Linked DNA regions of Drosophila melanogaster. Each later gene encodes a partner of the first gene's protein in a complex. Each region holds a gene or a part of one and is shown in the gene's direction. Other genes may lie near its edges. The genes, in order: Iml1, Nprl2 and Sec13.

The links.
Region 2: Iml1 (region 1) and Nprl2 share a complex: the UniProt entries of both Drosophila melanogaster proteins name them as parts of the GATOR complex.
Region 3: Iml1 (region 1) and Sec13 share a complex: the UniProt entries of both Drosophila melanogaster proteins name them as parts of the GATOR complex.

Annotation. Positions count from the first base shown.
Region 1 is NT_037436.4:1,528,994-1,539,468, reverse strand, and holds the start of Iml1 (increased minichromosome loss 1), read left to right. Parts: upstream 1-5,434; 5' UTR 5,435-5,560; coding exon 5,561-5,612; intron 5,613-5,667; coding exon 5,668-5,975; intron 5,976-6,035; coding exon 6,036-6,524; intron 6,525-6,581; coding exon 6,582-7,186; intron 7,187-7,246; coding exon 7,247-7,418; intron 7,419-7,480; coding exon 7,481-7,889; intron 7,890-7,946; coding exon 7,947-8,078; intron 8,079-8,209; coding exon of another isoform or gene 8,210-10,030; intron 10,031-10,240; coding exon 10,241-10,363; intron 10,364-10,475. Other genes in the region: pns (pinstripe), read right to left, coding at 1-273, 337-749, 1,315-1,424, 1,480-1,759; CG12091 (uncharacterized protein), read left to right, coding at 2,908-3,873; Ir62a (ionotropic receptor 62a), read left to right, coding at 8,210-10,030. UniProt on the Drosophila melanogaster protein: An essential component of the GATOR subcomplex GATOR1 which functions as an inhibitor of the amino acid-sensing branch of the TORC1 signaling pathway.
Region 2 is NC_004354.4:16,878,271-16,888,745, reverse strand, and holds Nprl2 (nitrogen permease regulator-like 2), read left to right. Parts: upstream 1-4,380; 5' UTR 4,381-4,505; coding exon 4,506-4,682; intron 4,683-4,744; coding exon 4,745-5,251; intron 5,252-5,339; coding exon 5,340-5,894; 3' UTR 5,895-6,062; coding exon of another isoform or gene 6,063-6,136; 3' UTR 6,137-6,227; downstream 6,228-10,475. Other genes in the region: CG4880 (uncharacterized protein), read right to left, coding at 512-1,123, 1,336-1,779; DENR (density regulated protein), read left to right, coding at 2,309-2,428, 2,518-2,779, 2,945-3,132; Polr3I (RNA polymerase III subunit I), read right to left, coding at 3,230-3,670, 3,730-3,882, 3,946-4,060, 4,138-4,145; CG4872 (uncharacterized protein), read right to left, coding at 6,063-6,136, 6,228-6,425, 6,496-7,291. UniProt on the Drosophila melanogaster protein: An essential component of the GATOR subcomplex GATOR1 which functions as an inhibitor of the amino acid-sensing branch of the TORC1 signaling pathway.
Region 3 is NT_033777.3:23,351,140-23,361,614, forward strand, and holds Sec13 (secretory 13), read left to right. Parts: upstream 1-5,138; 5' UTR 5,139-5,526; coding exon 5,527-5,813; intron 5,814-6,258; coding exon 6,259-7,042; 3' UTR 7,043-7,392; downstream 7,393-10,475. Other genes in the region: PolE1 (DNA polymerase epsilon subunit 1), read left to right, coding at 1-3,581, 3,646-3,949; ATPsynCF6 (ATP synthase, coupling factor 6), read right to left, coding at 4,262-4,430, 4,495-4,646; RpS3 (ribosomal protein S3), read left to right, coding at 7,716-7,751, 8,015-8,719. UniProt on the Drosophila melanogaster protein: Functions as a component of the nuclear pore complex (NPC) and the COPII coat. At the endoplasmic reticulum, SEC13 is involved in the biogenesis of COPII-coated vesicles.

The DNA of each region.
Region 1 (10,475 bases):
ACCTGATTCTCTAAGAGCACGCACGTCAGCAGCTGTATGACACACTCCACACCCAGGTACTTGAAAAGCAGCCTGAGCGGAAAGTCGAGCAGAGGCAACTCGGTAGCAAGAAGCGGACGCTGAAGAATCAAAGCAATGGGTGGCAGATGTGGCTCTGTGGGAGGCAGGTAAACCCGAATGGACTTGCCCGGTTGCGGTAGCATAACCTCGTAGAGTATGTTGTATACGTAGGACTCCAAGCTGATACCAGCACCAGGCTGTCGAGGAAGACATCTAGGTAATAAGAGGTAATGAAATTTAGTACAAGGATTCTGCGTTTATATGTATCTCAATTACCTATACAGATTCTTAAGAAACATCTGAGCGGCAAAGGCGTACGGAGCCTGACATATCAGCGTGATGCTCTTTGCCACGTACAACTTGTCCTTGTTGATGTCGTAGTAACTTTGTGCAGACTGCGGCGCCTGTCCGGCCACCTTAAAGTGCCTTGGCAGTGACCGGCTGACCGGACCATCCTGTTTCACCCGACTGAGGGAATGCGTCTGCTGGCCATTCGAGAGCTCTGTGATGAACATGCTCTGTAGCGTGTGAATGGCCCCGCAAATGTTTCGATTCCGAATTTCCTCGTAGAACACCAGACTGAACCCATAGCACCGCTTTCCATCTTCTCGTGTCGTGGCAAACGAGTGGAAACGGGGTTCGATGCAATGTTTCTGGGTGCGGAAGCGCAGGCCCTGCGGTAGTGAGAGCTGTGGAAGACAAATGGCGGGGGTGAGTTCTCGATCTCAAGTGGCGGGCATAAATAAAATCCATTCATTCGAACACATGCCCAGATGCCCGAGATAAGGTTTATCGGTGGAGGGGTGACGCTGTCGTATTCGTGGCATCAATTATAAGTGCTTCTCTCACAACAACTCGGGACGAGTGTATCAATGAACTAGCTAGCCAAGCATGAATTTCCACCGAAAGGGCAGCCAATTGAGCTCAATTAGACATGAATATGGATTAGGGTGGCTCGGTCATTCGCAAGATATAAGTTTTTCTATGCTTCAGTTCTACACTTACAATGTAATGATGTAAAAATGTAAATATAAAAATAATTAAAAATTCACATTTAGCAGTCTGAACTGATTCCATTGACAGATGGCAATAAATCACTCTCTGACCTAATGATTCATCAAAATGATGTGTGTTTGGGAATAAGCATGAAGGAAGCCATTTAAATAGTTTAGACTATCATACATTATCTAATCGACATTAACCGATCCACCCTAAGATGGCTAGGGAGTGACTTCAAACAGTCTTTATGATTACCATGCATATGCCGTGGGCATCGAAGGGATTCCAGGGCACGTTCTCGGGATAATGGGCCAAAGGCTTGCTCTTGTAGGCGCGATCCAGCGGCGAGCAATGTAGGTTGTCCCCTAAGAGGCGTAGATGTGAAGTTAATCCCAATCTCGGCGAGCATTCATCACTTACCCGCAAAGCGATCCGGTTCGAGACCCGTGTCCAGATCCAGTCCACATATCACAAAGTAGTCGGCGAAGCGCGAGAACTGCGGATCCGCATCCCGCTTCAGTTGGTTCAGCTCGGACTGAGATTGGGACTGCTCCCCGGGCGAGGTGGGAGATTGCACCAGGGTGGAGGATGGAGCCACCTGGATGTTGGGACCACTTCCATTGCCACTGCCATTTCCACTCCCGCTGCTGAGCATCAGCTTGGACAGGCGACTAGAAACCACATTCTCCCTTGTGGTCATCGCGTCCTCGTCCTCCTCCTCCGTTTCTCTGTCTCTCTCTCTTTGTCTTTAATCCGCCAAATGGGACATCAAACAAAAAGCACTGCCTCCATGTGTGTGCGTGTGCTGCTTGTGTGTGTATACATGTACCGTTATGCGCTCGCGATTTCGTGCACTTTCGAATTTACACAACCAATCAATTTCCGTCTGCAAAATACGTACAACTTTAGGCACAACAACAAGCCAAGTGCTATTTTTACTTGTTTGTTTTATTTTTACAATTTCGACGAAGGTGTGCGTGTGCGAAGGAGAGTGTATGCAAAATTTTCTATGCCAATGTCGTTGCCCACGTCCACCACCAACAACACAACACTCTCCTCTTTCACAATTACACTGTCGTATTTAACCCGCTGCTGGGCCGTGGGAGCCACAGCAATCACTAGCCCCAAAACTGGGTTAACACTGGCTGCGTGTTTGTTTGGACCTACCAACAACAAAGACCAGCTGGGCAAACAAATATCGCGGAGTAGAGCAGACCTGAGTTTTTTTTTGGCAAAAACAAACTACTTTGGTCGCCAGTATGACCAGGCTGTGTAAGTAGGAGTAAACCAAAAGAAAATGACCGTTATAATAATTCAACTAAAAGCATAAGGGGGTTTCTTTAAAATACCAGCAGAAAAATACTTGCGAAAAACAATTGCATCGAAAAATATGTTTGTTTTTTAAAACTTGAGCAATAAGTAAAGCTGCATATTTTACCACCCTTTTTGTTATATATACCGTTGGTGTATATAAACGAGTTGTACTGGTTCCGAAAATAACACTACTACAATAGGGTGTATATGGTTTCGGAACCCGTTCAGGAGCGGAGAGTTGGGGTGGGGAACCAGCACCGAACCAGTTCTGAACCGGATCGCGACCTGACGAGAAAAAGTGTATCACTTCATCACATAACATTTCGCATTTAATTGGAACGTAAATTGTGTGCCCCGTCGAGACAGGAGTTTTGCACCGGAAAAAACGAGTGCGGAGGAGTGGCGTGTAGGAGTGAACGCCAAGGAGGAGCACTCCGACGTCGTAACAAACGAATAAAACGAATCCAAATCCGACACCCCCCCACATGCGATTGATTTGATTGATTGAGAGCACGAGACCACGAGTTCTGGGCGATGCACTCGTCACTCAGCTGGACCTCGCGTGCGATCTCTCGCGCCCTGCGCAGCAGCTTCTCCACGCTCCTGGAAACGGCCACGGGTGGCGGAAGTGGGGCAGCAGCCAAGGGGGCCACCAAGTCGGGAGCGACACCAGGATCCTCGGGCGCCCCACGACCCCGTTTCGTGTCGGTGGTGTGCGGCTTCGCCAAGGACAACCTGCGACACAAGTACAAGCCGGGAAAGTACGGCGAGGACTCATGGTTCAAGGCCTCCACCGCCAGTGCCGATGTCATGGGCGTGGCCGACGGCGTGGGCGGCTGGCGAAGCTATGGCATCGATCCCGGAGAGTTTTCATCGTTCCTGATGCGCACCTGTGAGCGGTTGGTGCAGTGCAGCCACTTTAATCCCCAACGACCAGTCAACCTGCTGGCCTACAGCTACTGCGAGCTGATGGAGCAGAAGAAGCCCATACTGGGCAGCAGCACCGCCTGCGTCCTGATCCTCAACCGTGAGACGAGCACCGTGCACACGGCCAACATCGGCGACAGCGGCTTCGTTGTGGTGCGCGAAGGCCAGGTGGTTCACAAGTCCGAGGAGCAGCAGCACTATTTTAACACACCCTTCCAACTGTCATTGCCGCCGCCGGGACATGGGCCCAATGTCCTCAGCGACAGCCCTGAGTCGGCGGACACGATGAGCTTTCCGGTGCGGGATGGCGACGTGATTCTCATTGCAACCGACGGAGTGTTCGACAACGTGCCCGAGGATCTAATGCTGCAGGTGCTTAGCGAGGTGGAGGGCGAACGCGATCCCGTCAAGCTCCAGATGACGGCCAACAGCCTGGCGCTGATGGCGCGCACCCTGTCCCTCAACAGCGAGTTCCTCTCGCCCTTCGCCCTCAGCGCCAGGAGGAATAACATTCAGGCGCGTGGCGGCAAGCCGGACGACATCACCGTTGTCCTGGCCACCGTGGCGATGTGAGAGTGGTGCTCCAGCCCATCCTCCCTAGTGATTAACGTTTACTTGTAGTCCGTACGTGTTTAGTTAGCTTTAGGAGCCAGTTTCGTGGTTCTGTCTACCGTTTAAGCTGCATGTTGAGATTGAGATTGTGATTGACGAGGACGACGACCCTTTGACCCTTTGCATTGTTAGTTACATATATACGAGCAAACTCATTTTCGAACCGACGAATCGACTTCGACGCATCCTGGTGAGCGACCCGCGCCTCGATTGTATACATAACCCTCGCTATAAGTAGAGAATGCGAATTATCTGCCCGATCTGGCGATCTCTGTCGTCAGTGGCGTTCTAATCACCACAAACAATAAACAAACAACCGATTGCGAAACAATCCCCGACGCCGAGGATCATAAATACGAGTCCGGGGTCCGGATGATGGAAGCTGGATGGATGGTGGACCCGGAATGGAGCGAGTCGAGTGCAGCTATCTGACTGAGGACGGAGGATTACCCATTTACGCGGGCGAACGAACTGTCTTTAAACAATTTTTGTCGAAATGTACTCACTGATATTTGCGACCCAATAAAATTTATTCAATGAAAAACAACGAATGCAGCTTGTAGTCACTTCGTGATAAATTCATTAAGCAAATAAATATGTGTAAACAATAAAGCTGTACGGAAAACTTAAATAGAACGTTCTAATTGCTTAGATTAACTCATGGTCAGAAAGATGGAAATTGATAGATTCAGGAGCGGACAAACTGATTAGCGTGGGGGTGTTTATTTTTAATGCGATGTAACAATCATTTTCCTCCAGAAGTATAGGTGAAATTACATTTTTAATTAAAAAGGTCTTATCTGAAAGAAATCGATTGCGCTTCTGTGACGCAGACTGACTACATATATAAGCATAAAGCTGCAAAAAATATATGCATTCTACAGATTATTATTATATTCGAATAGGAAAAATACCCAGAACTATTTTTAAAAATTTTATTCGAAAATATTGCGTTATTTCGGTGCAACCTTAATTATTTGTATCTAGAATAAAACGCGCTATGGTGGTGCTATTTTTTACGCAACTGTATATGTGTTAAATCGATAATATAAAAAAACATTTATTTTAATTAGTAAAGTTTTTCGCCAGTTTGTAAAATATGTTAACTTTTGGCTACACTTGTGGGTAAATTAAAAGGCTTCATAGATGCCAAAAAAATTTCAGTCAATAGCAACGCACCAAATCCCCGCTGAATTGGTAGGAGTCTAGTGACGAAAGCATCGGTTGCCCCTAACGTTCGGTAATTCAAATTTTGTGACGAATAATACAAATCACACAATAACATACATAACAGAAAAGCTTACGTAACTGAAATCATTATTTAATTTAATATATATGAAAATAATTAAGCTGACAGGGAATGCAGATTAAGTTAGTTTTTCAATAAAAGATAAAAGTGTTGAGCTACCTTGAAAAATATAAATAAACTGCGTGATTTAATTAATTACAATAACAATTAAAGGTAAACATTAAATTCGGTATATTTGTACAGGAAAATACCAAATAATCCATGCCTGCGGTCACTCTGCAGATAAGGAATCAAAACAAAAGACGAAAAAATAGAATTTTTATTTTACTAGCATGCAAATGGGCAAATGTTGGAATTGAGTAAATAATTGTCCGTTGGTTTTGCAACCACTAAGTCAACATGAAGCTGTACAAGCTGAACACGCATACGCGTGGCTGCAACAAATCCTACGGTAAGCGAAAGTGGATATTGCGCAAACATTACGTTACACGGAAATTTCGGCACAGATGCGGACTTGGTGATGAATCTAAAGGATCATCCCAACGCCAATGTGGGCGATGTGGTAGAAATTTACGCCCCCGACGAGGAGAACGGCACCCACCTGCTGCTCCAAATCACCGAGTTCAATGGCAGCTGTGGCCGGGATGTGATAAGCATAGAATCGGGCATCGCCAATGCCTTCAAAATGCGTCCGTACTCCAATGTGGTGATGCGCATAGTTAAGCCGGCGGATGTGGCCCTGGACTCGATAGAGATTACCTTCAAGGACCAGTACATGGGTCGCTCGGAAATGTGGCGCCTGAAGACCTACCTGGTAAGGAATCACGCAGTTTTCAGACCAGGATATACTTTTAACGTACCACTTCTCCCTCAGACGGACACCTGTGTGTATGTGAACAAGAAGATCGACTACAACGACATGCAGATTCGGTGCCAGGTGTACGAGATGTGGTCGCAAGGCGAGCGCGTGGCCAGCGGTGTCATCACGGAGGACACCAAGATTGTCTTCCGCAGCAGCACTTCGATGGTGTACCTCTTCCTGCAGATGTCCTCCGAGATGTGGGACTTTGACATCCACGGAGACCTGTACTTCGAAAAGGCAGTCAATGGGTTTCTCACTGAGCTCTTTCAAAAGTGGCGAAAATTGAGCTGTAACCACGAGGTGACCATCGTGCTGTTCTCCCGCACCTTCTACGCAGCCAAGAGCCTGGACGAGTTTCCCGAGCATATGCGCGACTGCCTGCAGCAGGACTACAAGGGTCGCTTCTACGAGGACTTTTACCGCGTGGCCATCCAGAATGAGCGCTGTGATGATTGGTGTACCGTTTTGGGCCAGCTCCGAAAGCTATTCACGTCCTACCAGGTCACTTAACCATGTTTTAATTTATTCTATTATAAAAACTTACTACGCCGTTTACAGGCCACTGTGCTGCGCTACCACGAACGGGAGAACATGAAGATTCCACCGGCCACCAATTCTTCAGCCACTCAGGGTAACTTTTTGGAGGTGCTAAACATATCGCTGAACACTTTCGAAAAGCATTACTTGGATAGAACGTTCGACCGCACCGGACAACTATCCGTGGTTATAACCCCAGGAGTGGGTGTCTTTTCCGTGGATCGAGAGCTAACCAATATCACGAAGCAGCGCATTATCGACAATGGCGTGGGTAGCGACCTGGTCTGTGTGGGCGAGCAGCCACTGCATGCGGTTCCGCTTCTCAAATTCCACAACAAAGACACCACGTTGACCTCCGCCGATGACTACTCTCTGCCCCACTGGATAAACTTGAGCTTTTACTCCACTAACAAGAAGATTGTGTACTCCAGTTTCATACCACGGATCAAGCTGCCTCTGTTTGGATCCCAGTTGACGCTCCACGATGGCGTTGGCGACGGGGAGGGCGAGGAGAACGAGCGTCACTTCCTGAGCTGCAATCAGTCGGAGTATAAGCACAACTCGCTCTTTGATTACGATGCGTATGATGAACAGATCTTCCAGCCGCTCCCCGCTCAGAGTACTTGGTAGTATTGTGCTACAAAATTACCTTTTTAGCTTTGTTGATCAAGGTTTTATTTTCTTAGCTCCCTGCAGCGTGTAGTGCGGGCTAAGAAGACATCGGTGCCCAGTTTAGAGACCTATGCCTATAGGAACAACGATTGGGAGAACCTCACGCCGACTCAAATCCCGGCTATGCGGCGCAAGATGTCCGATCCCGATATTCATCACGGCACCTCTGCAATGCTGGCTGCCTTGGTAAGGGAAATCTTAATACTGACTTTTTACCTGACTTTTGAACTGTTTTTATGTGACTTTAGCAACCGGATACAACCAACCTCTCCGAGTCACTGGCCTCGGAGAAGAACTCCCGCAGGACGATCGTTAGCATTGCGCCCATAGTGCGTCCGGGTCGCGCTCTGATCAATCCCTTTGATCCCTCGCAAGTGACAATAAAGCTGACCTCCAATCGCCGCCGCTGGACGCACATATTCCCGAAGGGCCCAACCGGTGTACTCATACAGCAGCATCATTATCAAGCGGTGCCCGCCAAACCCACGCAGGCTGGTCAGCAGAGACCATTGCAGCAGACGCAGAGCAACAACAACAACGACCAGGAGGATTACGGGTGCGAAAATGGAGAGCAGTACGACCGAGTGTCCAGCCATTCGCTGCTCAACAAGTCAGACTCCTCGCAGAGCTTTGTGATGGGTGATGAGCCCATTGATTGTGAGTAGCAGTAACTAAAGTTAAACCTCCTCGACTAGCATTGCTTTGTATACGCAGTCTTTAAGCGGCGTCAAAACTCGCCGATGAACCCCCAGCCCGCCAATGTGCCCAACCTGACGGCCACCCAGGCGAAGTCTTACCTCTGGGGAGCCACTGGGGAGCAAGAGTGGACACCAGCAATTACCACGGGTAAGTGTTAGGCAAACAGTTTTCAGGTTTTGTTTTAGAGATCGTATCGTGGGGCAAATAATTCGAGATGCACTTGAAGTACTCGGCGTACATGGAAATCCCAGTCAGTTTGGCATGGTTCACGAGCGAAAATGTATCTTCAGTTTTTGTTCGCGCTGTTTTTGTCGCGCTACCAAATCGTGGCCACCGAAAACTTTGACCGCGCTTTCGAGCTGGCTCTGTTTCTGGACAGGATCGGCCGCGTGCATCGCTTGCATGCCATCACTATAGTGAACAGCCTGGGATCTGTTGATCCCAGCTATCTGGACGATCTGCATCGCGGCCTGATGTGCAACAGCAGCAATCACTTCTACATGCTGCCGCAGATGACGGCCACGGACAAGGATTCCTCGCACGTCCACTTCAGCAGCCTGCAGGATGAGGAGACCATATATTTGGTCTTCGCCAGGGATTCCAAGGATGCGGTGATTTACTTGCAGGCCGAAAGAGCCAGAGGAAGGCGTTACACGAGGACTATGTTCCTGCTAAGAAAGCAGGAGTCGCAAAAGGACATTAAATACTTCTTTGAACTCCTGTGGAAACTGCAGTTCCGGAGCGCTTTGGTAGTGGTGGCCGCCAGAAACTTCTACCAAATGGATCCATATCCCACTGTTAGGGTGATACGCATGCGAAGATTATCCTCCTATGATCCGCATCATGTTTTTCCGCCTGCAAATCGAAAAAATTTCAGAGGCTACAGGATGCGATTGCCCGTACAGCAGGATGTGCCCAATACTTTTTGGTACAAGAATCGCAGGACGAAGGCCTGGGAACTGGCCGGATTGGGCGGGATCTTGATCAATCAACTGATGATGCACCTGAACGTGACCATGGATTTGTTTAGATTTGAAGTAAATGGCTCTTCATTGCTGAATATGGCTGCGCTCACGGATCTGATTGTAAAGGGCAAGGTGGAGCTGAGTCCGCACTTGTACGACACACTGCAATCAAACACCAGTGTGGACTACTCATATCCCACGCAGGTGGCACCGCGCTGCTTCATGATCCCATTGGACAATGAAATTTCGAGGAGCCTCTATGTGTTCCTGCCATTTAGTTTAACCATGTGGCTGTGCTTGCTGTTTGTTCTGCTCGTAGTGCACTTCGTGTATGTGCGCCGCCTGATTCCAGACGGACATTTTTGGGCCATACTAGGAGTGCCTGGTGCTGGTCAAGTCAGATATGGCAACCGCAAGCCGGTCAGGCGCTTTAGTACCTTTCTGATCCTCTTCGGAATATTCATTCTTGGGCAAACGTACAGCACCAAACTAACTTCATCTCTGACCGTGACTCTGATCCGAAGACCAGACAACAGCTTGGAGGAGCTATTCCTGCTGCCGTATCGCATTCTAGTGCTGCCCACGGATGTGTACGCCATCGTTGATTCCCTGGGTCATGCCGAGCAGTTTAGCACAAAGTTTAGCTGCACGGATGCCGAGAACTTCAGCCAGAAGAGAATCTCCATGCATCCGGAGTATATTTACCCCATCAGTACAATTCGTTGGCGTTTCTTCGATATGCAGCAGCGCTTTCTGAGAAAGAAACGCTTCTATTTCTCCAAGATTTGCCACGGCTCCTTTCCCTATCAGTACCAGCTCAGGGTAGACTCACATCTCAAGGATGCCCTCCATCGATTCCTGCTGCATGTGCAGCAAGCCGGGCTGCATGATCTTTGGCTGGATACGTGCTATCGCAAGGCCCATCGCATGGGCTATCTCAAGGATTTCTCCACACTGGCGGAGCTGGAGGAGAAACTGAGGCTCCGCCCACTGGCGCTCAATCTGCTGGTGCCCGCGTTCAGTCTGTTTCTGTGCGGAATGTTGGGCAGCGGAATCGCCTTCCTGGTGGAGATCCGTCACAGCTTCGGGTGCAGACAAAAGCCACCGTCCATTAACCGCAACCCCGGGGATTAATGCATTCGAAGTAGCTCATCCTAACCAGAAACCCCTCTCGAAATAGAAACGAATACTAAGTCTAATCTAATCTAACGTATGATTCACCTTATTCCCCTTCACCTTATTCCACAACGCCACGAATGAAATCCAATCGGATCTAACCAACGAATCGAAATTTGCAACCCATCACATACGTATTCCATCGAACCCCATCCACCGATCGTTTAGTCAAGCATCTGAGGCCGATCGTCGAGGGCGAGCATCATCATCTGGGCAGCCTGGAGGCACTAAGGGCTCTAGACCCGCCCCCCGATGCGGAGGCGGGCGGCGGAAGAGGAAAGATCATCATAGGTTTGGACAAATCAAATTCACCACCTTTGAACTCTGTACAAAGCATTAGCGATGCATCCGAACACAAGCACACATAACCACAACACAACAACCAACCACACACAAGACACCA
Region 2 (10,475 bases), on another chromosome or scaffold:
TAATCCTTGTAAATATATAGTAGTATAGTAATTCCCATTCTTCGAAATATATAATTGTTTAAGATAGCAGAACAATAATTTTTTTCTTATTTTTAAAATAAAAAAATAGTATATTTATAAGAACTTGATTCTAGACTCTTATACACATATGGCAATTTTAATCACATTTACTTAATATCGTGGTTGAATGCTGTCAACTTACAATTTAAATATAATTCGTTCATTTAAATTTATTCTTATATGATACCATTGGTTTTCTTTTACAAAAATTTTGTCATTTGTCGTCTTAATTTCATTTACACATATGGTAGTACAAAAATAGCAAAGTATTGGCCATATATGTATGTACATGTACGATACACAGGAATAAAACATTGGTTTTTGATTTACAACATTAAACTTTGTTTGCTGATATTCCACGGATGCTAGCCTAATAGTTTTTGCCAACCTGCTTTTAAATTTATCACGACTGGTTTGCAGAATTGTCTAAAACGTAAACTTTAAAAACCTACTAAAAGGAACCTACTGGAAGGACTTGGTCAGTATCCTGGGAGTCTGCGATTATTGGTTTGCCGTAGAGCAGGACCTTGGCCAAAATCGACTTGCAGCCAGAAGCGCTAGCATCGATACTTTTGATTATCTCTTCTACGTGCTCGTCTTCCAGGTGCACCATTGCGATGGCGGCTTCCCTGCGGATGCAGTCGACCAGATGGGTGGGATCCAGAGTCGCAAAGGTGACCAACTGGGTGTGTGGCATATTTCTAAGGATCTCCATATCCATCTCAAACTCCTCGCCGGGCTGCATGCTATTCACATTAAAGATAAACACAATGGTCAACCGCTTCTGTTGCGGATGCTCAGTGTGGTTGGCGCTCTTTTCGCCCTCACTTATCATTTCGTTAATGATAGGCACGAAGTGTGCATCCTTCGGCGTCATGTTATCAATCAAGATCATATTCTGTCCGCAATATGTCAGGCCGGATAGCATGCTCTTCACTCGGCCCAAAGAAGAACTGCCGGTCCAGGAGAGTGTATTCACGTTCTCGGGCCAGGGAAACGTTTCGCGCAAGATTCGCGCAGTGTGGCTCTTGCCTACGCCAGAGGTGCCCACCAAGACGATTGCCTGTTTGGAAGGAGATCCGGGATATTAATACACAAAATATTGGCAATTCATTAAGTTTACTAAAGATCATCTAGTTGTTTGTTGCAATAACCAGGATAAATCTGGATGAGCATATACAACAACTGGTAGTACAATCAATAGTAAACTATACTAAGTGATATGGAAAATCCGCTTAGGATGCACATTAAATCTACTGTTTCCCCGCTAGTCACCTCATTGGTGGTGTTGTCCAGTGCCAGTTCTAGCTGGTTCAATGCAAGATCCTGGTTGAGTACCTGGTGGCGGGCGTGCAGGACCATGTCGCCCAGCCGTCGGGAGGGATTGCAGTAGTTGTCCTGGTTGTGGACGATCGAGTGGTACTGGTTTTTGTAGCTTTCCAGGAATCCGCTGACCGTGGACAACTTGTCGGTGAACTGCAATAACATGCCAATTCCTGCGGCGAGGGCGAGAATGAGGTATGCCCAATTCCGCCATGGAGCCTTCTTCTGGGTACAATGGGCAATGTCCAAATGGTGTTTGCACACCTTTTTATTCAACCGCCTGTTGGACTGCAGGCGGCGAATCTCAGTCCTCCTCTTTCTGGCGAATGGCCGGCTTATCGGGGCGACCACATTTTCATTCTTTTCGTTCTGTATTAGAGTATTGTATGTGACCATTTTATTAAGCCTTGTTTCGTTAGCAACTGGATATTTTTGGCTGACTTGTGCTCGAATACAATTATCAGCCTACTGTGATACAATTTGGTAAAAACTTTGGTTGCATGTTACAAACCGGCAAATTATTCTAAATGCCGCTTCCTTCATGCAGTATTTCACGAGTGTTGTTTTGATAGGCAAACATATTTTGGTATTTTACTATCGAAACATTCTTCTGTTCTGCCAATAAATACAATTTTAATAAGTATTTTGTAATACAATACAAGGTATAAATTAAAATAGTTTCAATCAATGTAAAATTAATGAAAATACGTAAATTTTAATTTTAGCTTATTGATAGTCGGAATTGTACTACGATTTAAATAAAGGTATATTTTAGGTAGGTATTTATTTAACATGTGTCAATGTTAGTATATTTTACGAGCCTAAACAAAAACGGTCAGTTTGCAGTAGCCGACTTCTTAAAACTGTCATTATTTTAATATTTCAATAACCCGGAGCAAATCCCAGGCAGTTAATCCGATCCGCAATGACGAACGAAGATGTGGGCACCAACAGCGTCGCCGACCGCCTACAGTTGGGTCCGCGCGAAGGCGTCACCTATCCGATCCAGATGAAGTACTGTGGCCACTGCACGATGCCCATTGAGGTGAGTTCGTCTTCAAACCTGGGAAAAATCCATATTAGGGATCATATATGGCCCATATATTTACATATATATATATCCACTATACGCAGTACTGCGAGTACTATCCGGAGTACGAGAAGTGCAAGGAGTGGCTGGAGCTCCACATGCCCGATGACTTCGAGCGACTAAAGATTGAGGAGGAGGCTGCCGCCGCTGACGGGACGGATGACGACAAGAAGCGCCAGAAACGCGGTGGCAAGGGACTGTTGCGCGTCAAGAAGAAAGAGGACGTGCCCAAGCGTATCTGCGTCTCGCGGGCGGCACGTGGCAAAAAGAAGTCAGTGACCGTGGTCACAGGATTGAGCACTTTTGGTAGGTTCTGTTCGCACATTATGAGTATAGAGTAGGAAATGGAGGGGGATGCGGGCCCACTGGATGCTATGAGTAGCCATTACCATACCATGTAACTTAGATATATTAGATATACTTATGAGCTTTATTGTTAACTAAGCATAATACATTCCCTGTCTGTTCCAGATATTGATCTCAAGGTGGCCGCCAAGTTCTTTGGCACGAAATTTGCCTGCGGCTCCTCGGTTACCGGAGACGACGAGATCGTCATTCAGGGTGACGTCAAGGATGACTTGTTCGATGTCATACCCGAAAAATGGGCCGAGATCGATGAGGACGTCATCGAGGATTTGGGCGATCAGAAGCGAACATAAATAATTTACCTTTTTTTTTAGCTTATTTTATACGCTCCATCAACATAAATATATGAAACGTTAAACGTAATAAGCGGATGGGTTATTTTGGCGGCTGCTACCCGAGGTTTTCTCCATCTGGTGTCGGATTGGACTTGGTTTCCATTGAAGTGGGTGCATCCGTTGCAGGCGCTGTAGTGGCTTCATTTGCTGGAGTAGCATTATTTTCTGAAGACGATGTTTCCACTGGGCTTGCTTCTTCTGCTGGAGTAGTAGTAGTGGCTTCACTTGAAGGAGTAGCGACATTCGCAGGAGTAACTCCATCACCTGGCGTGGTTTTGTCCGCTGGAGCTATTTGTTCCGCTGGATTGGATTTTGCCTGGGCATTACGCTTTACGCCAGATTGCTTGCCGGCCTTCGCAGTGGACTCCGCAGGCTTTTCCGCCGGTGTTTCCTTAGCAGCGCCTTTGGTTTCTCCACCATGGAAGTGTTTGTAGCTCAGCTGAATGATTTTCTCGTTCTCCTCATCGGTTAGTGGAGCTTTATTGTCGTCGATGAGCTGGGGAGGTTATTATATACTTAATTAGCCTTTCTGGCATATGATAGACTAATCCTTACCAGTTGCGTGTGTAGTGCACTTGTAGGCGGATCGTTGATCATTTGCAGGATCTCTTGGGACTTTAGACGATAAGAAGACAGGTCTTTAACGTAATTCATAATGTTCTCACGAGTTTGTGTCTTGCAGGGCGACTCCTCCAGATACTGCAGTGCCTGTGGAACAAAGTGTTTGGTTAATTTATCATATATTAGTTAAATATTTAAAAAAATCGACACCTCATAGGTAACCGTGGCCAAGTTGCGCATGCCGAACTTCTTTTTGGTGCTTTTGATCTTCTGTAGAATCTGCATTACCTCCAGATTGGTGAGGTACGAGAACGTGGGATTGATCCTGAAATGGAAGCGTTATCATCTGCATATTATTCGCTGTTTAATGGAAAAACTAAATAAAAACAAAACAATCCTCACGTTTCCATTTCTGCAAATTTTAGTATGACCGCAGAGCGAGCGCTAAAATATACCCCACCTACGCATATTACAGTTGGCCTTTATATATTAACATAACAGATAATTTATACATGAATAAAACGATCTACTCAACAAATTAAATGGTGTTGAATTAATTTGTTGTTAAAATTTGTTATAATTGGTTTTTGCATTGGAGTATATTTGTTGCAGTAAGGCTATGGTCACACTAAAGCATCGCTTACCATAACATTACAGCGAATTCCGCCACTGTTATTGGATTGTGCCACCTGCTGTTAAAGCTTTGGAGTCCACTCCGCGGAAGGAAGCAGAGGATGTGGATGCGGTGATACTGGAATCTTTTGAACGGCATGCATTCCCATACGAATGAGACGGCTGCGACGTCGACAACGGCGGGCGCGGTCACGAATGGAGCAGGCGGATCAGGAGCTGGAGCAGCGGGTGCCCATGGCAGCACGGAGGGCAAGATCCGGTGCATCTTCCTCAGCGAGTTTCATGCGACGGCGGGCTGCAAGATAAGCTGCCAGGTGAGCTGGTTCCCAGGAGCGCTGATAACGCAGTATAGTTCGAACAAATCCACGTCCCTCAGGTTCCTGATAACTACATATCCAAGGATGTGTTCGATGCTATCAATGTTTACATCATACCCAAGCAGCATCTTCAACGCTGCATTCTCACCGTCAACGCAATGGATGTAAAGATAGTCGGCTATCCAGTGGGCATCCAGGATCAGCAGAAGTACGCACGGAATGCCTTCCTGTTTAACCTATGCTTTGTCTGCGACTCGCGGGCCAGGAGCGTCCAGTACGAGCCGGTCGTCAAGAAGCTGTCCGAGTACCTCATAATGATGGAGGAGGAGTCGTGCTTCCTGTCTCGCGAAGATGACAAGCGCCGCCTACAGAACATCTTTGAGACTGTACTACGCGACCTTAACGAGCGGAAGGTGGCCACCATTGTTGAGGGCGATAACACTATATACCTGAAGATCGTCATGCACAAGCCGGACCCGCCGCCGGTCAAGGATCACATGGTGCCCCTGCTGCTGGCGAACCTGCGCGATGCTCCGCTGGACAACTGGGACCTTACCACACAACAGGTGCGGACTATTCCTGATTCTATAGTTATACAATCTTCACGATGTAAATAATTTAGTAATCCCATTGGACTGTTATGGTTTCCTCTAGATCCTGCCTTATATAAATGGAATCAACCATGTTGCCCGCATTGCCGCCGAAGCGGACGTGGAAACGGACCTGGTCAAGTCGTGCATACAGAATCTGGTCTACTACGGGGTCGTTCAGCTGCTGCCAATCCTGAAGTACAGCAACGTGTACATGACGCAGAACCTAAAGCATCTCATCCAGAGCGCATCACTGAGCGGCGCATGCCGGAAATACGTGGCCTTGCGTCCGGACAAGACGCTGCCCAGTGTTCAGCGCATCTTTCAGTTCTACGCCTCGATGACTCACGGCGTTACTCTGCGAGCGATCTGCCAGAGATTGTGCCCCCAGCACCACAACATCGATGAGCGTCGCATGGTGATCTTCGGGCTGCAGCACCGATTCATTCGCTGCATCCACAAGTACCCGGTGTTTACGGGCTCAGTGCCTTCCGGGCGGCAGAAGATGTACACCGGGCTGATCAGCTTTGACGAGATCTGCTGCAAGACGGGCCTCTCGCCCTGCACCATCGAGCGGGATATCGAGAAGGACACGAATGTGACTGTGATCTGGAAGTGACGACCGGAAGGACTTCTCCGGCCAGTTGGGTTTGTTGTAGTTTGTAAGCGAACCGATTGTTATGTTTCCAAATGCTTTTTTATATACGCGCATATACACATTAAAGTTTAAGAATTCACTGGTTTGGCTTGGGCTGGTTCCGGAATCGCTTTGCCAGCTGGACAGCAATCAGGAATCCTTTGCGCTAGAGATAATGCAATCCTGAACCGCCTGGGCCACACAGGCGTCCTCCGAGGCCATGCCTTAAATAGGAAATGTATGAAATTTTTAATGATACAACTTTGAAACAGACAGAGATAGTCATATAGTTACACAAACTTAATAAAAACGCACCCATGGATTGAAAGATGCTGATTTCTAGCTCCTTGGGATAGTTTCCATCCAGAATGATCTGACCCACTTCAGCGGTGATCGGCGCAGGTAATCCCACCAATTCAGCCTCGGCATTGGCATAGCAATCCACGTAGACCTTGGCCTGCTGGTAAATCTTTGGAGCCACCTCCGAAAAGTGAACTTCGCCGGCTCCCACAGCTGAAATCGAAAGTTATAAAGGGTAGGTCATCATCATCCATCCAGCATTCCATTATAACAGCAGACCTACCGTTAATATGAACAGCCCGTTTGGATTTCAGATCTGCCAACTGGATAAGCGGCTCCTTGGAGTACGTGGCGATGCAGATGATATCGGCATCCTGGCAAGCTTCGTGAGGACTTGGACATACAGTAATCTGGGTTCCGCTCTCGGTGTTCAATTTCTGCCGCAGTTGGTCCGCTAAACCCAGTGCCTTTGCCTGCGTGCGATTGTAAAGATTAAGCTGCCTCACCCGGAAGTTCGCGCAGAAAGCGGCAGCATGGAGTTGTCCTTGAACTCCACAGCCCACGATGGCCACGTTGATATTCCTTTCCTGCTCCGCCTGCGCCCCAAAGCGCCTGAAGTACAGATACTTGGTGGCCACCAGTGAAGCGGATACAGTGCGCCAGGTGGTCAAGTCCGTGCCCTCCATTATGGCCGACAGTTGACCGGTTTGATTGTCGAACAGCAGCACATGGGCATGGATGCTGGGCAGCGGAGGATCCCGTCGGGGATTCCCACTGAACGAGGTCACCAACTTGCAGGCCAGTGTTGAGTGGGTGTGCTCCACTTCCCCAGGATCCCTTGACGATTCCAGCCTGTAGTTGCCCACATAGGCGGGCATGGTGAGCAGAACCTTGCCAGGTTCCTTGCCGCATGGAATAAAAGTCCTCTTCGGTTGAAAGGCAAAGGATGTGGAGGGCGTTTCCGGATTCTGCTTAACTATAGCTACAAGTGCAGATTCCACTGCCTTATTGACCAGCGGCCAGGTGAGAACCTGACGCACAGCATCCGCATTGTAGTAAGCTGGCGTAGAGCTGCTCATATTGGCAATGAAATGGTTTTAAAACAAAGTAATTCTTGCAAATTAAAATATTCTAATTATAATTGGAATGCAACTTAGTATCTTACTAACGATCAAAGAATGCACTGACCAGGGATGCCAGGTTTTAGGAATATTGTTGTGGAAATAACTATATTAAGCAATGTTTTAATTTCTGATAATATATATTAGAAATATATTAAGCTTAAATACTGTGACTGTACTCTATCAATTTTGAAAATTGGACTCATTGTACATTTTTGTCTTACAAAAGCTTATTTAGTTTGAAATCTTGGCAGCACTGTTGACTTAAACTTAAAAATTAACTAAAAAATACCGTTACTATCATTTAAACACCTATCGAAATCAACAGTCGATAACTTTGATGATGCAAAGCGTTGAAATTTTAAATTGAAAGATCAAGGTGATCATTATTTGATAATATTCAACGTATTGAAGAAAAAACAATGACGTTCGGTTTAAATCAGGAAAGACCATTATCTGAAGTGGGAAAAACCACCAACCGAAAACCAATTTTCACGGGCGACTGTTTTTCCTCATTTCTAATGCAGTTTTCCCCATTCTTCGGCATCGCTGGGAAAATGCATTTTCACCGCACGCCAAGGGCGAAACCGCAGCGCTCAAAAAGGGAAACCGCTTCTGTCAACGGCTTTATCGCCCCGAAACGATTCTCGCAAACAGCTGGAAACTGAACCACAGCCCACACAACCCGTCCACTCCACTCCACTCCAATCCAATCCCACCCAGACCAATCCAATTCGGAGCCGCAGCAGGCGACACGAAAGTGAAAAGCGAATGCACTTTTCCGAGGCTGCAGCTGATAGGGAAATTAATTTATGCGCCGCCATTGTCTTTCTGGTCGCGCCATTTTATTTTCCCAGCTGCTAATTCAAATTTTGACATAATTTCTTCACTGTGCGCCTCCGTCGCATGCTTTCTCGCCTTTTTCCCAACCAATTTCACTTGACTTGACCTTTGCGCGGCAATTTCATGGGTTTCCATGCACTGGGCGAAAAGTACCGCCCTTCCTAATGTAGAATTCTTCTAAATGGCTACTGATTATGTCATTCATGCAAACGGCTAGGATTTACAGTGCACAGTGAGAAATTGGGAGAGTATTTCATGATTTTATATAAGAAGAATAGCATTGTGTTGAATTATGATACTTTTAAACCACCTTAAGTCACCCAATGTCTAGAAATATTTTTGATTTTATTAAAGTCACCCAATGTCTAGGAATATTTTTGATTTTATTAACATTGAAAATTAAACATTACAAACTTACCACTCAGCATATGGAATCTTGTTTCCAGCTTGTTTTTCGGCCTTTCACGATATGAACAGGATGAGCTCTACTTTTTTTTCGAGTGCATGGGCCTGTGTGTAGGGTGGGTCTGCAGCCTTTTGTTGTTGTTGTTGCAGGCTGATTTATATTCGCCCCCAAGTGCCACAAATCAAAGTCGAGCTGCTGCTGCTGACTCATTGGAGCGGCTCCTGGTTTATCGCGGTGACCTGTTGCATGCCCCACTCCTGGAGACACGGCGGTGGCACCACCAGAACTAATAGAACCAACAGAACTTGCAGAACCACCAGCAGCAGCACTTCTGATTGTTCTGACCTTGCTGCCGGGTAAGTGGTTGGCCATAAATTTTGGCATTGCGCAAAAGCCACACCGGCAGCTAAAAACAAAAAAAAAAAACGCCCCGATTCTGAGCTGGATTCCAATTCCAAATCCAATCACAAGAATCCATATCCGAAAAGTGAATTGTCGCCCTGACGCTTTGAATAAATTGCTAAACGATTGGGCAAGCGCCAAAACTTAATGGCCAAAAAGGATTTCGCCTCGTTGCGCATAAATTTGCGGGCCAAAATCAATGACGAATTTATTGGCCAACTACGTAAAAATAGTTAAGGATATATACACTGAATATAAAAGAATATAAAAGAAAATATGGGTATATTGTGGTAAGAAAGATTAAATGTTGATGGGAATATTGTTTATCCAGTTAAACCTAAATATTTTTAATAAATACTATTTTTGTTACTATTTAAAAAACTTACTAAAACTCACTAAAAGAGTGACTTAACATTCAAATTGAACATTATTTAGTTATTATTCTTAATGGATGAAATGGGTTATCCAAATCAATTGACAATTGGGTGTTTTGTCTTTAAGTTGCTGAAACTTTTCATATTTATGCCATTTTGGTTGGCGGCTTTTGAAATGGAAACTGTAACGGTAACGGTAACTGTAACTGTAATAGTTATAGTAATAGTAATGGTAATAGCAATGACTATAGTCGACTATAGCATACTATAGTCTACCAGTCACACACACACACACAGAAACAGAACGTTGCCACACCTTTTCTTCGCGGAGCTGGATTTTAATTTTTTACTGCCTTATTTCTGCGCTTAGCTTAATTTTGTTATTGTTTTAGTGCGCGCCCGCACACTTGGCTCACACAGATACACACACTCACACACAGGCGCGCACACGTAGGTTAGAAAAAGGAAAGTCTGCCGGCGCGAAAAACTCGACGCTGAAGTATATTCGCATATTGTATCTCGCATTTTGTACCTCGTATTTCGTATTTCGTATTTTGTAGATCAATCTTGGAATGGGTTTGTGCCGTTAGCCGCCGGCGACGTCGTCGCTCACTAAAATGTTGTTTGTCCTTGGAGAATGTGGCAAAAAAGATAGAAAAATTGTATGGAAAAAAATTTTTAAAATTATAATATACGTATGCGCACTGTTACCGTGCAAGTGCACAGGGAAAAACTTCGCTGTCAAACATAAATTATGCCTGATATTTTATGGTTTTATTTCATGAGAATTCTGATTCTATCTCATGACTATAAATACATATGTTTATCAGTAGCAATCGTTGCCCAAAAGTGTGCTATGGAATATTTAAAAAACAAACTAATTGGTTCTTACATAGATAGATAGAACAGCCAATATAGAATTATTTTTTACCTAATAAAAACCTTATTTTTTGTGCATAACATATAAGTTACAAATAAAAGCAAATCATTTTATAAATGATTAAAAAATGTACATTTTTTTATAATAATGGATCATTTAATTTTAAGGAAATATTTCTATGCATATTCTGATATTGTAACATTATTATTGAATAACTTTTTTTCAAATGGCTTAATT
Region 3 (10,475 bases), on another chromosome or scaffold:
TTACCCGCTGCCAAAGAGGAGGGCAAGAAGCTGAAGAAAAGATATGCGGTCTTTAATTTCGATGGCACACTGGCTGAACTCAAGGGATTCGAGGTGAAGCGACGCGGTGAACTGCAGCTGATCAAAAATTTCCAGAGTTCCGTCTTCGAAGCTTTCCTCGCTGGTAGCACACTTGAGGAATGCTATGCATCTGTGGCCAAGGTGGCGGATTACTGGCTTGATGTACTCTACAGCAGAGGATCAAATCTACCCGACTCGGAGCTATTCGAACTTATTTCGGAGAACAAGAGCATGTCCAAGAAGCTTGAGGAGTATGGCGCCCAAAAGAGTACGTCCATCTCCACGGCCAAGCGATTGGCTGAGTTCCTGGGCGAGCAGATGGTAAAGGATGCGGGTCTGGCTTGTAAGTACATTATTTCGAAGAAACCCGAAGGAGCACCCGTCACCGAGAGAGCTATTCCCTTGGCCATTTTCCAATCCGAACCGAGCGTGAGGCGACATCACCTGCGTCGCTGGCTTAAGGACAACACCATGGGCGATGCGGATATACGCGATGTGCTCGATTGGAACTACTACATAGAGAGATTGGGTGGGACCATTCAGAAGATCATAACCATACCGGCGGCACTGCAGGGACTGGCCAATCCAGTGCCCAGAGTTCAGCATCCGGATTGGTTGCACAAGAAAATGCTGGAGAAGAACGATGTGCTCAAGCAGCGTCGCATCAATGAGATGTTCACCAGCAGACCCAAACCGAAACCTCTAGCCACAGAGGAGGACAAGCTGGCCGATATGGAAGATTTGGCTGGTAAAGATGGCGGTGAGGGTGCTGCAGGCTGTCCGATAGTCACCAAGAGAAAGAGAATCCAGCTGGAGGAGCACGATGACGAGGAGGCACAGCCGCAGGCCACCACTTGGCGTCAGGCCTTGGGCGCTCCACCGCCCATCGGTGAAACCAGAAAGACCATCGTTGAGTGGGTGAGATTTCAGAAGAAGAAATGGAAATGGCAGCAGGATCAGCGCCAGCGTAATCGCCAGGCGAGCAAGCGAACTCGAGGCGAGGATCCGCCGGTGGTCAGAGCAACAGGATCCACAGCTACACTGGGCGGATTCCTTAGACGTGCACAACGCACCCTGTTGGACCAGCCGTGGCAGATCGTACAGTTGGTGCCCGTCGACGACCTGGGCCACTTCACTGTGTGGGCCTTAATCGGCGAAGAGTTGCACAAGATCAAGTTGACGGTACCGAGGATTTTCTATGTAAATCAGCGAAGTGCAGCTCCTCCAGAGGAGGGTCAACTTTGGCGCAAGGTCAATCGAGTTCTGCCACGATCCAGACCTGTTTTCAATCTCTATCGATATAGTGTGCCCGAACAGCTCTTCCGGGATAACTCGCTGGGCATGCTGGCGGATCTGGCGACGCCCGACATTGAGGGCATATACGAGACGCAGATGACGTTGGAATTTCGCGCCCTCATGGACATGGGCTGCATTTGCGGTGTCCAGCGCGAGGAGGCACGTCGCTTGGCCCAATTGGCCACCAAGGATCTGGAAACATTTAGCATCGAGCAGCTGGAGCAGCGGCCCCAGACTCAGGTCAAATATTTGGCTAGCGCCAACAATCGATTGCGCAAAATCTACTTGTATCAGCATAACACACCGACGGCCAAGAAGGAGATCTGGTCACTGATCCTAATGCCCAGCAAGAAGGCATTTGTTTTTGCCTTGGACACAGTGCGTGCCAATCAAATGCCGAACATGAGGCAATTGTATACCGCCGAGCGTTTGGCCCTGCTCAAGAATCTGACGGCAGAGGAGCAAGATAAAATTCCTGTAGAGGATTACACATTTGAGGTTCTCATTGAGGTGGATGTCAAACAAATTTACCGGCACATACAGCGGGCACTGACCACCTACAAACAGGAGCATCAGGGACCCACCATTCTGTGCCTTCAAACGGCGCTGTCGGCGCGTAAACTCAGCCTGGCCATGCCGATCCTGCTGGAGTTTCCCCAGGCTGAGATTCATATCTCCGATGACGCTAGTTTGCTTTCTGGCCTTGATTGGCAGCGACAGGGCTCCAGGGCAGTGATACGCCACTTTCTGAATCTGAACAATGTTCTTGATTTGATGTTGGATCAGTGTCGCTACTTCCATGTGCCCATTGGCAATATGCCGCCGGATACTGTGCTTTTCGGAGCGGATCTTTTCTTCGCTCGCTTGCTGCAGCGGCATAACTTTGTGCTGTGGTGGTCGGCGAGTACCAGACCAGATTTGGGTGGCCGGGAGGCGGACGACAGCCGGCTGTTGGCGGAATTCGAGGAGAGCATTAGTGTGGTGCAAAACAAGGCCGGTTTCTATCCGGATGTTTGCGTGGAGCTGGCTCTGGATAGCCTGGCGGTGAGTGCCCTGCTCCAATCGACTAGGATTCAGGAAATGGAAGGCGCCTCATCTGCCATTACGTTCGATGTGATGCCGCAGGTCTCGCTGGAGGAGATGATTGGCACTGTTCCGGCGGCCACCTTGCCGAGTTATGATGAAACGGCCCTCTGTTCCGCCGCCTTCCGCGTTATGCGCTCCATGGTGAATGGTTGGTTGCGAGAGGTATCCATCAATAGGAACATCTTCTCGGACTTCCAGATCGTGCACTTCTATCGATGGGTGCGCTCCAGTAATGCACTACTCTATGATCCTGCTTTGAGAAGATCTCTGAATAATCTGATGAGGAAGATGTTCTTGCGCATTATAGCCGAGTTCAAGAGATTGGGCGCCACCATTATCTATGCGGACTTTAACAGGATTATCCTTAGTTCGGGTAAGAAAACCGTTTCCGATGCCCTGGGCTATGTGGACTACATTGTGCAAAGCTTGAGGAACAAGGAGATGTTCCACTCCATCCAACTGAGCTTCGAGCAATGCTGGAACTTTATGCTCTGGATGGACCAGGCAAATTTCTCGGGAATTAGGGGAAAGCTACCAAAGGGAATCGATGAGACAGTGTCGTCAATAGTTTCCACTACCATGATACGGGATTCTGAACGCAATCAAGATGACGACGAGGATGAAGAAGAGGATTCGGAAAACCGTGATCCAGTGGAGAGCAACGAGGCCGAGCAGGATCAAGAGGATGAGCTGTCCCTGGAGCTCAACTGGACAATTGGCGAACATCTGCCCGATGAAAACGAGTGCCGCGAAAAGTTTGAATCCCTGCTGACCCTCTTCATGCAATCTTTGGCTGAAAAGAAGACCACCGAGCAGGCCATCAAGGACATCTCACACTGTGCGTTCGACTTTATCCTGAAGCTGCACAAGAACTACGGCAAGGGCAAGCCGAGCCCGGGCCTAGAACTTATCCGCACTCTGATCAAGGCGTTGAGTGTGGACAAAACGCTGGCGGAGCAGATCAACGAGTTGCGCCGAAATATGCTGCGTCTGGTGGGGATTGGTGAGTTCTCCGACTTGGCTGAGTGGGAGGATCCCTGCGACAGTCACATCATCAACGAGGTCATCTGCAAAGCGTGTAATCACTGCAGGGACCTGGATCTCTGCAAGGACAAGCATCGCGCCATGAAAGATGGAGTGTGAGTTACACAAACCAGTACACATAATTTACCACAAATAATTGATTAATGTTGGATTTTTCAGACCCGTTTGGCTGTGTGCCCAGTGCTATGTGGCCTATGATAACGAGGAGATCGAAATGAGAATGCTGGATGCACTGCAGCGCAAGATGATGTCCTATGTGCTGCAGGATCTGCGCTGTTCGCGCTGCAGCGAGATCAAGCGCGAGAATCTGGCAGAGTTCTGCACTTGCGCTGGCAACTTTGTGCCCCTCATCAGCGGGAAGGACATCCAGACACTGCTGGGCACATTCAACAAGGTGGCTGCCAACCACAAGATGCAGTTGCTCCAGCAGACTGTTCATCAGGCGCTGACCACGCCACGCTAGGACCTAGTTTGTTGTTGTTTTCTAGATCGTAGGGCTTAAATATATTGTATTTATAATGGAATTTAATTCGATTTTAATGAGTTTTGAGTTTATGATGTCGCACAAGACGAATGTCTGTGTTAAGGAATGGACGCGCTTTATAATTCAATGAGATTCACACACTTTTAGTGGCTTTCGCATACGAATCGCTTGTTGTTTTCCCGATTTTATTGGTTTTTTTTGTTGACTTGCCCGCGGTTTTTGGGGGCGCACAGGCGAAATCAGCAGCTGAACTTAAAGCAATTAGACTAACTCATTCGCGAAGAGCGATCTCTACTGTGGGGCCTGGGTGATGGGATCGACCTTAACATCGGGGAACTGGAATTCGGGGAACTTCAGCATGTCGGTCTTGCCATCGCTGCCAAACTGCTTGGCCACACGGTCCAGTTCGGTCTTCAGCTCCCGCTCAATATCGGGATTGGAGTCCACCAGCTTGCCACCGCTGCAGGTGAGCAAAACAAGGATTATGTCGAGGCACACCAACGGATGAAGGAGCCAGAACTTACGCGCTCTTCTGCTTGTACTCGCGCACTTTGTCCAGGAACAGCTGCTGGATGGGATCGGAGGCCTTGTTCAGGGCAGGGGCAACGATTCCGAAGTTACGACGGGCCTCTGTGCGCAGGACACGCATGCCACTCAGCAGGGATTGCGACAGCATCTGGAATTGATAGATCCTTGTTAGAATAGCAATAAACGGCCTTCTTCATATGTAACCTTAAAAAGGTTATGTAATACAATTGTTTGTTTCGACGTTTCCCAATCGGTTTTCAAGCCGACTTTGCTAGCAACTTTATCTTGTATTCAAATTGTATTCCCTCAATCAATTTTTATGTATTTTAAATCTTGTTTTCACCTTATTTTCCTTTGCAAATGCTAACTTTCGTGCGGAAAAGTTACAATTGTCAGTTCACAATGGCAGTTGGTGTTAGTGATGTGCGCGTGATGGGTGTATGCGATACTATTGGACGTAAGCTTTTTAAATAGTAAGGGTATTTCCTAAGCTGATTTTTTGCTTTATCCTGTATTTGTCAGCTGTATCATATAGATTATATTCGTTGCGAACAAGAATTTTAATCAACAATCCGTTTAAATTACTTGCCTCTATCGAAATACAGCCTATAATAAAAATATTACAAATTATGAAAAGCTAATTTATACACTGTGTCTGTTTATGTATCTTACTATACATGTCCAACTTAAATCAAAACTGCTCCATAAACGTTCATACCAAAACACCACCTAAACTGTATCTAAAATCCCACACAAGCCAAAACCCGATCTAAATTGAATATAATTAATAAATTCTTGTTTTACTATAATATGAATATGAATAATATGAATATGAACTAAAAACTTTGAAATTATTCTATCTCATCTATGGACTAGAGTGACCATGTGATCAATTGCAAGTGTAACCATCAGCCACTGCCGCGCTCAGGTCACACTGCTCAACCAGGTTCCACGTCAAGCGCCGGAAAAAAACACGACTTGCATTTAATCAATTTATCTGGCGACCGGACGAACGGATTTCGAGCAAGATGGTGAGCCTGCTGCAAGAGATCGACACCGAGCACGAGGACATGGTCCACCACGCAGCGCTGGACTTCTACGGCCTACTGTTGGCCACCTGCTCCTCGGACGGCAGCGTCCGCATCTTTCACTCGCGCAAAAACAATAAGGCGCTCGCCGAGCTCAAGGGACACCAGGGACCAGTGTGGCAGGTGGCCTGGGCACATCCCAAGTTTGGCAACATACTGGCATCGTGCTCCTACGACCGCAAGGTGATCGTCTGGAAGTCCACAACGCCCCGGGATTGGACTAAGCTGTAAGTAAACGGGCACACCCATACCAACAAAGTTATGTTTGTTTTAGGAATCGACCAGGGGATACCCATTGTTAGGACCTTGATTAATAATAATACTTTAATAGCTTGATCCTTGATTAATAATAATACTTTAATAGCTTTGGAAATCATTATTTTAATATTTATGCTTGGACGTCTTGTATCAAATGTAATTTATCATTTATAATTGTTTACATCATGGTATTGAAAATATTTAACAAGAAGAATCAGATCTTGTTATAATAAATATATATAAATATATATATATGTTGGTGTCCTTTAAATTGTTCCCTCTGTCATAACACAATAAAATACTCTCTTATTGACGAGATTACGAGGTAGCAATGCGCCATGTCATACTTATGTTTAGATTTCCGTTATCATTTAAAGAGTGCCACATCTAACCTCTGTGCTTGCCACATTTCAGCTACGAATACAGCAACCACGACTCCTCGGTAAACTCGGTGGACTTCGCGCCATCCGAGTACGGATTGGTGTTGGCCTGCGCCAGTTCGGATGGCTCGGTATCGGTGCTCACCTGCAACACGGAGTACGGTGTGTGGGATGCCAAGAAGATACCGAATGCGCACACGATCGGAGTGAATGCCATCTCGTGGTGCCCCGCCCAGGCACCAGATCCAGCATTTGACCAGCGCGTAACTTCGCGTTCGGCGGCCGTAAAGCGCCTAGTGAGCGGTGGTTGCGATAATTTAGTGAAGATTTGGCGGGAGGACAACGACCGCTGGGTGGAGGAGCACCGACTGGAGGCGCACTCGGATTGGGTGCGCGACGTGGCCTGGGCGCCGTCGATCGGATTGCCCCGCTCGCAGATTGCCACGGCTTCGCAGGATCGCCATGTGATTGTGTGGAGCAGCAACGCAGATCTATCCGAGTGGACCTCGACTGTGCTGCACACATTCGACGATGCCGTGTGGAGCATCTCGTGGTCAACCACCGGCAACATTCTTGCCGTCACCGGTGGGGACAACAATGTCACATTGTGGAAGGAGAACACGGAGGGCCAATGGATCCGCATCAACTACGAGTCGGGTACGGCCATCCAGTCGAAGCAGCCCTCGCACCTTCCGCATTCCCACTCCCAGCAGCAGCAGGCGCTACAACAGCACCAACAACAGGCGCCATCGCATCCAGGTCCTTCCTCCGATTCGGAGCATAGCTCGAACCTGTCCAACTCGCAGCTCTCCAACTGAGCCAGCCCCGAAATATTGTCGTGCTGAAGTCGTGGTTAAAAGTGTTACTTTACAAATATATATATACGAAATACTATTTAATGTGCCCCTTTAAACGCTGTTTAGTGTATGTTTATTTGGACTTCATATGGGATCCCTATTTGAATCTTCTGAAATTATAATGAATTCTAAAGACAAGTTTTTGTCGAAATGGTATCATTTTTTTTAAGTTTTATCAAATATATTTGCAAATTGTAAGTAGTATGTATTTAAAAATAATAGTATAATAAGATTTAAATAATTAACCAAATTTTATTCAAACTTATTATTTTTAACCATACAGATAAATTCCAAAACTAAAATTTTTACACAATTTTTGAATGTCACTTTAGGTTTGTGTACAAGCTTGTTGTAATCTAGTTTCCGAACCATGTCTGCCTAGTACTACTGTGAATCAATTTAAGTAAAAACGAGGCAGAAACAGCAAATAGCTAAAAAACATTTTAAATTAATGAATATTAAAAGTAATTAAAATAAATTGTTTAATTCAGTAGTGTATAACTGTAATTTTTGGAAACCAAATTGGTATATAGTGGTATTTATTTCCAGACCGGGTGGTATTTTTTAACGTGTCTCGCGCGGGCACACTGGCCTCTTTCTTTTCTGCGCACCACGTTTCCGATTCGACGTCAAAATGAATGCGAACCTTCCGATTTCCAAGAAACGCAAGGTAATTGGGGAAAAATGAGACAGGATTACCTCCGGCATGTAATGCAGTGTCCGTACGTTCGTTGTTTCATCGGAGTTGTGTGAAAAACCCGGCCGGAAAGCGCGAAAATCCATCGGCTTCGGAGTTAACCTCAAAGCAGATGGGCGTCCCAAAAACTTTGGAACTCAACAACGCGTGGTGAAACAACAACAACAAGAAGGAGGATTGCTAGGTGTGCAATAGATGTGGAATGCGGATTATAATGGTTTCTTTTTGCTCCCCAGTTCGTTTCCGATGGCATCTTCAAGGCTGAATTGAACGAGTTCCTGACTCGCGAACTCGCCGAGGATGGCTACTCCGGCGTGGAGGTCCGTGTGACCCCCTCTCGCACTGAGATCATCATCATGGCCACCAAGACCCAGCAGGTGCTGGGCGAGAAGGGCCGTCGCATTCGGGAGCTGACCGCCATGGTGCAGAAGCGTTTCAACTTCGAGACCGGACGCATTGAGTTGTACGCCGAGAAGGTGGCCGCTCGTGGCCTGTGCGCCATTGCCCAGGCTGAGTCGCTGAGGTACAAGCTCACCGGAGGACTGGCCGTCCGTCGTGCTTGCTATGGTGTGCTCCGCTACATCATGGAGTCGGGAGCCAAGGGCTGCGAGGTCGTCGTGTCCGGCAAACTGCGTGGTCAGCGTGCCAAGTCGATGAAATTCGTCGATGGCCTGATGATCCATTCGGGAGATCCGTGCAACGACTATGTCGAGACCGCCACCCGTCATGTGCTCCTCCGCCAGGGAGTGCTTGGTATCAAGGTCAAGGTCATGTTGCCCTACGACCCCAAGAACAAGATCGGCCCCAAGAAGCCGCTGCCCGACAATGTGTCCGTTGTGGAGCCCAAGGAGGAGAAGATCTACGAGACGCCCGAGACCGAGTACAAGATCCCCCCGCCCAGCAAGCCACTGGACGATCTGTCCGAGGCGAAAGTTTTGTAAACCTAGTTTTACTGTTCATCCAATGAGCGACTAGCTGAAAGAGTTGCCCTCAAATACAACAAAACAACAGAAACAAAACAAAAACACATAATAATTCAATAAACAAAATCAATAAGTAATAACCCACTTGTGCAGTGCAGTGTAGAGTGCGAGGGTCAAACATAAAGTTGTGTCTGTCCGATATGCAAACCTGTTTTCCAAAAGGAAAGGATAGCTTTTGAAACTCAGGCTAAAAATAGACTTAGTCCCTCACCACCTCGCCACTATGATTAATAAATATGAAACAGTTTGGCCACAAGAGTTGCTTACCTTCCCATTTTATCAGAATAGGAATGCTTAATTTGAACAGATTTAAAAATTAGATGAAAATTTCAAAAGCATTTATAAATAGTTTGATATAAAATGTAATGTTTGAAGAGTAGAGATCTAGAGTTTTATCAGCATCTGTCTTAAATCCAGGGTATCACGACTTCGGCTGTGCCAAATGCATCTTACATTCTGGTTTCGCATTTTATTTGCATTTCTTGTGAAGCGGAAATCAGCGATTAAAACGGCTCACATTTTGTCCAGTTGTCTGCTGATTTATGAGGCTGTCCTTCGGGCAACATGAGTGTGTGTCCGGTGTGTCCGCGAGTTTCTGGGACCGCTGATGATAACCCGCTCCTCTTATTTATCATGTTGATATGTTTATTTCCCAGCTGGCACAGTGACACGGCCGCAGGGCAATTGCAGCGTGAAAATCAGCAATCGTTCAATTTATCAACATTTGCGAGATTATAACAGCCAGCGCGGGAGAAAGAGATACTTTTTTTTTTTTTTTTTTGTATCTTTTGCGCTCGAACTCGAGTTCGTGCCCGTTTGGAGCGGCCTGAAATCGCAGCTGCAGCACACGATCCTCGATCCCGATGACAAATGGCCACATGCAAGACTCCTCCATGCCCGCTGCCTCCACCTTCAGCCAGATGATGAGGAGGTGGAGCAAATTTAGGAGGAGGAACTGGCGGCTTGTCTCGGCGGCATCACGCATCAAGTTGCGATTTGCGCCATAAATCTAAATTAGCTGGCTGGTGGTAGGAATCGGCGCAGTTCCTGGTTGCACTATGGCACTATTGCTATGCATTACCTGGCTCCTCCACTTGCCCCAATCAATTAGGTGCACATAAAAGCAGACGAAACAAATTTTGCTGGCCATCTCGCGCGTCTGTCTGTGCGACTGTGAGAAATATTTTCCCAGCCGCAATTGTTCTGTCCATTGTTGTAGTTGCGGTTCATTTCAACGCTGGCATAAATCATACAGAACCTTTTAAACACGACTTTGAACGTATGATTTCAACACAATTTGTAAATAAATTAGATCGTGATTATGGCAACATCAATATCGCCAGCAACATCAGCATCTGCAGCAGCAGCAACAACAACGGGCATCCCCGCAGCAGCAACATTATTAACCGGCCAATGTGTTGTGGCATGTGTGGCAGCCATAGCTCTCCTACTAACTATATATATATATATTATAATGGCCATAACAACAAAGCGAAACCAAAACAAAAACCCGACAATTGCCGTCAACAAGTCTGCAAGAGTCGGCGGCAATGTGTTGCTGGTGTTGCCAGTCCATGTTGCAGTTGTGCGCCAGAGTGCAACATGCATATTGTCTGTCGAGGCTGCGCAGGTTCATAACTCGCCTGTCAGCTGCCAGGCTCCGTTCTGACAAATCCAACTAGAGATCTGGTAAGTCACCAGCTTTAATGCTCTA